Macaca mulatta: one gene and its partner. Each later gene encodes a partner of the first gene's protein in a complex. Links are inferred from orthologs where the notes say so. Each region holds a gene or a part of one and is shown on either strand. Other genes may lie near its edges.

The links.
Region 2: the proteins of WDPCP (region 1) and FUZ are in contact, whole or in part, in a cryo-EM structure (PDB 7Q3D), measured with the Homo sapiens proteins. The link is inferred for Macaca mulatta from reciprocal best matches to the Homo sapiens genes WDPCP and FUZ. Residues at the interface, in NP_056994.3 of Homo sapiens: Arg55, Ile57, Asn75, Lys78, Leu82, Glu418, Asp419, Arg420, Leu421; in NP_079405.2 of Homo sapiens: His293, Glu372, Glu373, Pro374, Arg379, Gln397, Pro399, Thr400, His401, Gly402, Ser405, Leu406.

The regions. Positions count from the first base shown.
Region 1 is NC_133418.1:61,314,006-61,317,822, reverse strand, and holds part of WDPCP (WD repeat-containing and planar cell polarity effector protein fritz homolog), read right to left. Parts: intron 3,288-3,817; coding exon 3,173-3,287; intron 955-3,172; coding exon 821-954; intron 1-820. UniProt on the Homo sapiens protein: Probable effector of the planar cell polarity signaling pathway which regulates the septin cytoskeleton in both ciliogenesis and collective cell movements.
Region 2 is NC_133424.1:62,274,268-62,278,217, reverse strand, and holds the end of FUZ (protein fuzzy homolog), read left to right. Parts: intron 1-689; coding exon 690-887; exon of another isoform or gene 888-889; intron 890-1,007; coding exon 1,008-1,103; intron 1,104-1,418; coding exon 1,419-1,525; exon of another isoform or gene 1,526-1,526; intron 1,527-1,603; coding exon 1,604-1,668; intron 1,669-1,742; coding exon 1,743-1,820; intron 1,821-2,931; coding exon 2,932-3,155; 3' UTR 3,156-3,439; downstream 3,440-3,950. Other genes in the region: AP2A1 (AP-2 complex subunit alpha-1), read right to left, coding at 3,548-3,625. UniProt on the Homo sapiens protein: Probable planar cell polarity effector involved in cilium biogenesis. May regulate protein and membrane transport to the cilium.

The DNA of each region.
Region 1 (3,817 bases):
GTGTGCATCTTTTTTAAGGAAGCTGTGTATCAGCTCTGTTCCCAGTGAACAGTGAACTGTCTCAAATCCACATCACAGAGGTTGGATCAATCTTGCAAACACAAGTCATTGCTGAAAAGAGGCCTTGAACTGAAACAGCCTGGAAAATGTATTAGATACTCATCCTAGCAGAGAATATGCCTTCCCAGCAGTTAAAATGTAATGTGGCAAAACTTAAACACATCACTTAAAATAAGAATTCTGCCTTAACAGATGTAAAGCCCCTGCTACAGGAAGGAAACAAATTACCTGGAGTTAGTGAAGGGAGAGATACTAACACATGAAGGAGATTTCTTTTTGCATTTTGTCCAGTTATAGTTGGAAGGGGAGGGTTCTTCCCCCTCCTTATTTATTACACTTTTCTATTAACCTTTGAAAGTGCCTTCTTCTTTCTTTCTTTTCTTGTGAAGTGGAAACCAGAGCAGCTATCCTACCCTAGAAAGATGATATGGGGTCTTACGGGAAAATGAGAATATATATACTACCACTAGTACAAAAACCATTTTCAAAGTGTAACTTGCCTCTATTATCTGTCTTTGACGTCTATAAATACTATATAAATTGCTCCAAACATGCCATTGTTAGACATCCCCCCATAGTGAGAGTATAAAAGAAAACTTAGAATGGCCACTGTTTGCAGTTAATTAAGCTTAATCCTGTAATATTTCCAGTGTTTCTGAAATCCAGAATGTTTAAGAATAATGAGCAGAATACCAACTTATGAGATACTTTCATATACCTTAATAATTAATAATATGACTATATAAATCAAAATATCTACCTTATAATCCAAGGCTGAGAGTTTTTCCAGTCTTTTGTTTACATCAGAAGAATCCATCTTCTTGGTAAACTGAATAAAACATAGCTTGTTTTGTGCCAAAAATGATAAGATGATAAAACTGTCTGTGAGAAGAGCTAAAAACCATAATTAGATAATACCAAGTTAGAATAAAATAATGGATAGATTTTTTCCACTGAAATGTTACAAAAAGCTATTTTCAAACATACATATTAATTGAAATCACTAAAGTCTCCTGAATATCATTATAGCATTTTATAAAAATATTAAAGATATTAGGAATAAACAATAATTATCAATCTAATCATGTATGATTTTTTTTTCCTGTGACTATTTCAATATACACTGATGTTTGGGGACCACCACTGGATGAGATGTATTTAGAACCAGGGCTATAAAGATATTTTTAAAAAACTATTTCACACCTGAATGTAGAGATGAAAACATTCCATTTTATTTGTGCTAAGACTTTAATCCTATGTTTATATGATAGAAACCATCTGAGGATAAAGTGGATTTATTAGGGGATACTGATCAGTGTTCTCAACCAGTCTCTTTATTTAAAAAATTTTCATCAGTGAATCTTCTTTTAGGGGTATACAAGCTGGATGAAATAAAGCATATTATACCCAATATGTACATTACATAAATTAATATTTAATAATGAAAATTAGCAATTTCTATAGCTTTGTCATTAAGCATACAAGTAGGTAAATAACTAATATTTGTGGATTATATAAAGGGCTATTGATGTTACATAAAATTATTGATAAAAATATGTTACAGGAATTTGAGAAATGCTTTGCATTGTTCCTAGCATAAAGAAATTATTAAATGTTTTATACATTTTCCTTTACTTTCACACCCCTGACCATGCAAACAGTGACCAACAGTGGATCTACACAATTACAAGAGAATCTGGAGAACTGCCAAGAAATCACATTGTTACCACGTTCCCATGAGAGTGTATTATTTTGGGTACAAATAAAAGAAATACGTGAAAAGGGATAACTCAGAGACACAAATTGTGCTGAAAAGTCTCCTTTTATTTCTCATTGAGGAGCATCAATATAACAAAATCATCAGAGCCAGTATTTTATTTGCAGTACCAATGAAGGGGTCAATAATTAGACATATGGAAATGGAACCTCTTCTACAGGGAAGCTTCCTCAGCACCTTACTCCTGTAAGGAAGGGGAAATGGCATGCTTACAATCCTACCCCCAGCTTATTACTATCAGTAATGTTGCTAATTATGGCCATCCTGCAGAGTTCTTTTCTTCACGATGACGTGATTGTCTGATTTATTCAGAGGTAGCTAGTGAGAGAACACAGCAGACGGAAGATTTCTTTATTCTCACCTCTGTCCTTTCCACTAGGACATACTTCCTTTGATTACTAAATTTAAGATACTGACCATTTTCAATCTATCATGATAATACAATGTTTCTCAACCTTTTTACCTTGAAAAAAAGAATATAATCTTTAAAAATTCAGGAGTCAGCACGGTATAGTGAAAAGAAAATGGGCTTCGCAGCCAGAACCTGTATTCAAATCTCATCTCAGTCACTTTCTAGCTATATAACTCTGGACATGTTCCTTAGTAGCTCAGCTTCAGTTTTCTTATGTGTAAAAATGGAAACAACTATACCTTATACAATTGTTTTCTTGTATTAAATAGGTAGGTTAGGAACCCAGCATACAGAGCCTTTTGGCTCAATAAATATCAGTATCCTTCCTATTCAATAACTGGCTTAATATCTTTTTCTTATGTGCTTTGTACCAATTACAGACTGATTGTGATGTCACTTAATAGGACCTGATTATCCAGTATATTAGGCATTGATCTTTATTATTTAGAAAATATAGCCCAAAATCTCTCAAAAGTTAGTATTCGTAAGATTTTAGTAACAAGGAATCTTCCTATGAGAGCCAAAGCATCAATTGTTTACTGGTGGCTGTGTTGGTATATTTGTGTTATTTATTCAAAATTCATTTGGAAATGAAATATATACTTGAAGTACCAGTTATAGAGAACTAACTTTGAAAGAATGAAAACAAAACCCTATTTTGAAAACAATGCTCACTTCTTTTAAGGAAAAAGTAAAAAACAACTCAGAACATAAGCTTAACACTTGACAAGAAGAAAAAAAAACTTTGATATTAAATATTAGTCAAAACTTGTATTGGTCCCAGGGGGTAAGTGTGCTATTACAAGCAATTACTTGTTTTGTTTGCAAGTCCCCAGTGGTAATAATTAGTCTACCTGTTGACACACTATTTCTCCTGCCCCACTGTTAATGTAGGCAATTGATTTGCACATGGGGGTAATTACCATCACTGATGGTGTCTGAGATGAGCTTCCCCACCAGGCTTCTGTCAATCACCACTTTTTCCAGCTGCGGCCCAGAAAGGCTTAGCGACACCAGCACACCTGAACCAAAGAGGAGCTAAAACCAGGTAAGCAGGGGAGATGGGAAGGAAGACATGCTGTGATTTAGAATCTTTAAAAAACCTCTCTCCAAATGTACAACTTATACAGATATTTTACACATGCATCTACACTATGAAATTATAAAGAATTGTCTTCACTGAAAAACAATTATTGACATTGTGGTAAAAAGAGAAAGGTGGCTAAAGGATGCAACACAATAAGTGCATTGATTAAAGCTACATGAAGAAACCTAATTTAGTCCATGTTTATTAGAAATCTAATCTTCTAAATACTTAGAAAGCACATACGCTGAAATAACTGCTTTGTTCTGGATTCAGAAAATGTAATGTATTCTATTGAGATATTTTGAAAAATTACTATTATAAACTAAAACATTTCTTGAGGTTTGAATAGTCATTGCTACACATTAAATATAGAAAATATGCCACTATTACAATATAAACAGCTAATGTTATGCATTTATTTGGAAGTTAAACACTACTTCTAAAAATAAAGATCTTGTCAGTCTAAAATATTAAAATACAT
Region 2 (3,950 bases), on another chromosome or scaffold:
CTGCTCGGATGACAGGTGTGAGCCATCACACCCGACCACCAGAAGAATCCTCCTATATCCAGAGCTGGCCCTGCCCCTTTCCTGCTCACAGCCCTCCCGCAGCCTCCACCTCCCCCAGGACAAGGTCCCAGCCCCTCAGCCTGGTGTTTGAAGGCCTGTGGCACGTGGCACCCCCTAACCTGTTGCTAAATCCACAATCTACCTCCATCCTGCTGCCTCACAGACCCCAGAGATCCCAACGACTTTCCAACCTTGGTACCTGCTCTTCCTCCTGTCTCTCAGATCTCTAGCTACCCCTACTTAAATACTGCTCTTGCTGACTTGCCTGGTGTGGGCGCCTCCCAGCAGTGTGACTCTCAGCAGGTGACTTGGCTTCTCTACATTGCTGATGGTGCCTACTCAGCATGTAACAGGCCTTGATGAACAGTAGCTGCTGTGGTTACATCATTAGCTTCAGTTTGCACACTCAGGCTAGGTGTGTAATCAGACTTCACAGTGTGAGTTGGGGATGTGACTTCGTATGAAGGTGAGGGAACTCAGGCTCAGAGAGGGTGAGACGCAGGAGCATGGCCACTCCACGAGCTTGGGGCTGGCTGTGGGTTTACTCCCCATTCCCTGCCCACCGGGGAAGTCGCTGCCAACCCCTACGCCTGTCTGCGACTCCCAGTTCTCCTGCCTCCCTTACCCAGGAAGCCCTCTCCGGGTTCGCGGAGGCCACGGGCACGGCATTCGTCAGTCTGGTGGTGTCGGGCCGGGTGGTGGCAGCAACGGAAGGTTGGTGGCGGCTGGGGACGCCCGAGGCCGTGCTGCTCCCCTGGCTGGTGGGGTCCCTGCCGCCGCAGACCGCTCGCGACTACCCGGTGTACCTGCCGCACGGGAGCCCCACGGTGAGTGGGTGGGGCGGACGGGGCAGAGGGATGTGACCTGGGGGCCGAGTCGCTAGGAAGCGGGATCTGCGATGGAAAGGGGCCGGGCCGCGGTCAGCCCCAGCCTGTGCCCTGCTTCAGGTCCCACACCGGCTCCTGACCCTGACACTGCTGCCGAGCCTGGAGCTGTGTCTACTCTGCGGGCCAAGCCCACCCCTCAGCCAGTTGTATCCACAGGTGAACCTGCGCCACGTCCCGCTTTCCCCCTTAGGACACCCTGTACCTGCAAGGCCCTTTCCAACCACCCTGCCCTGCCAGCGGCTTCTTTCCCCAGCCCCGCCCCTTCTGGACTGCGCTCCAGTCATTCACCTTCCCCGCAAGATCGGCCACCCCCGCGCGTCCTCCGTCCTTCCAGGCCTCGCCCCTTCCCTTGTCCCTTCTGCCCTCCGCCCTCCACTGTTCTCGTAGGCCCCGCCCCTCCCGATTGACCACGCCCCTATCGTGCACTCCCCCGCCGGCCCCGCCTTCCCATAATGACCACGCCCCCTGCAGCTTCTGGAGCGCTGCTGGCAGCCACTGCTGGACCCGTTGCGGGCCTGTCTGCCGCTGGGACCCCGAGCGCTGCCCAGTGGCTTCCCCCTTCACACAGACATCCTCGGGTAAGGCTCGGATGGAGGGAGTGGGTTGGGGATCATGTCCTCTTCCCCAACCATGACATTCCCTTCCCTTTCCCACAGGCTGCTGCTCCTCCACCTGGAACTGAAACGCTGCCTCTTCACCGTGGAGCCCTTGGGGGATAAAGGTGACTGAGGACAGGGGCAGGGGCAGGAGGAGCGTGGGCCGGGGAGGGGCTCTGCATCACTGCCTTTTCCTCAGCAGAGCCTTCACCAGAACAGCGCCGGCGCCTCCTCCGAAACTTCTATACCCTGGTCACCTCCACGCACTTCCCACCAGGTCAGCGGCAGGCACAGTGCTCCCACTGCGCAGGCGGGGACACTGAGTCTCTGGTCACGCAGAGTGGGAGTAGGAGGTGGGGTTGGAGGAACCGGACGAACCCAGCATGCACTGGGCCATAGGGCTGTGGTTTTTCTTGAGATCTGAGATTTGATGCAGATGGGAAGGGCGATCCTCTTTAGCAATACACATGGCAAACACGGCAGCAACACAGGAGCTCCAGTAGCCTTTTCCAGGAGGGAAGGGAGGGGAAGGGAGGTCCCTGCCTGGCTTCAGAACCTCCTAGATCATAGTTAACAATAGTTAACAGTGAGACCTCACCTCTTCCCAGTGCCTTTACATGTAATGAAAGAATGAAATCACTTTATCCTCACAAGCGAGGACTATCCTGTTACCTCATCATTCCCATATTACAGATGAGAAAACGGAGGCTCAGCTTATGAGTGGCACAGCCATATTCGAACACAGGGGATCTGGCTCCCATATCCACACGGTCCAGCACTCTGCACTACTGCTGAAAGCACAGACTTTGCTGATAGGCTTGGGGGATGGGGCAGGTTTTCACCGATGCTGGGTTAGAAAGGAAAAATTATTGTAAAACCCATAAAGGCCCAGAGAGACAAAGGGAGGGCCCTGGGATGGCGCTATGACCCCAGTGAAGCCCGGATGAATGCAGCACAGTGGTCAAGTGCTCCATCTGGGGGGCTGCACCCCTTCTTAGCTGTGCGACTCCACCTCTCCCTGGCCCCTGCCTGCTTCCCTCCACCCACCTCATGCAGTGGGGCGGGTGGGCTCCTGGAAAAGGCTACTGGAGCTCCTGTGTTTCTGCCGTGTTTGCCATGTGTATTGCTAAGAGGATTGCCTGCAGCTGCACAGTTTCCCCAGGAAAATGGGGGCCAAGGCTGAGAAAGAGGACGAGGGTGAGCTGAGAGCATCATGGTCTTCAAGTTGCTGACAGCTTGCTAGAACCCCGAGGCCCTGCCCTGGCAGAAGGCTCCCAAAACCTGTGCTCAGAGACCCCACGCGTTCAGAACTTGGGCCCAGGATGTGGTGTGGCTTCCAAAGGTTAGCATGCTACTTGTCACCTCAGTGCCCCCTGTTCTTTCCCCAGAGCCAGGGCCACCAGGGAAGACAGAAGATGAGGTCTACCAGGCCCAGCTGCCCAGAGCCTGCTACCTGGTGTTGGGGACTGAGGAACCAGGCAAAGGAGTGCGTCTGGTGGCCCTGCAGCTGGGGGTTCGGCGGCTGCTGCTGCTGCTGTCTCCCCAGAGTCCCAGCCATGGGCTGCGAAGCCTAGCCACCCACACTCTGCATGCCCTCACCCCACTTCTTTGACTACCTAGCAGTGGGTGATGGACACAGACATGGGGCTGTTAGCGTCTCTCTGTTTATTCGCTCACAATAATACACAGCCCCTGGATGGGGAGGGGGTAGGAGGGGCTACAACAGGGTGGGGTGGGAGGGGAGGAGGCATCCACTTTCCTTGCCCCTCTCCCCTCTGTGCTTGGGAGGGGGAAGGGAGGGAGGGGGCTCCCCCTAACCCCCCAGAATGTAAACAGCAGCAGATGAACAAAAATAAAAATACAAAAGGCCGGAGGAAGGTCCCAGGCATCCCCCAACCCCTGGCGTCTTCTCTGTCACCAGTGGAGGTCCCCCATCCACCAAAGCTGCCTCAGTCCAAGGGGCTGCCCAGTGCCGGCCACATCCCCGGGGGCAGAGTCCAGGGCTCAGAACTGCTGTGCCAGCAGCTCACACAGGTGACGGGAGACGGGCTCCTTGCTGGTGCGCAGGGTCAGCCGATACATCTGGGTGGGGACATTGGGGGCAGAACTCAGAGAAGATGGGGAGCCCAGGGAAGTGGGGACACAAGGGAGATAGAAGAAAGAAGGATAAAGGGGCCAGAAAAGTGATACAAGACACAGGAGAGGAGAATGTAAGAATGAAATCAACGGAGGAGCCAGAAAGGAGGGAAATTATAAATGAGAAGAGAAAGGTGGAAACGATATGGAAAGGTAGAAATCAGGGAGGGACAGGAAGAGGAGAGGAAGACCAGAGGTTGGAGACAGGAGAGAAGATTGATGGATAAAGAGGAGGAAAAGTGGACAAAGATGCGAGAGGAGGAGGGTCAAA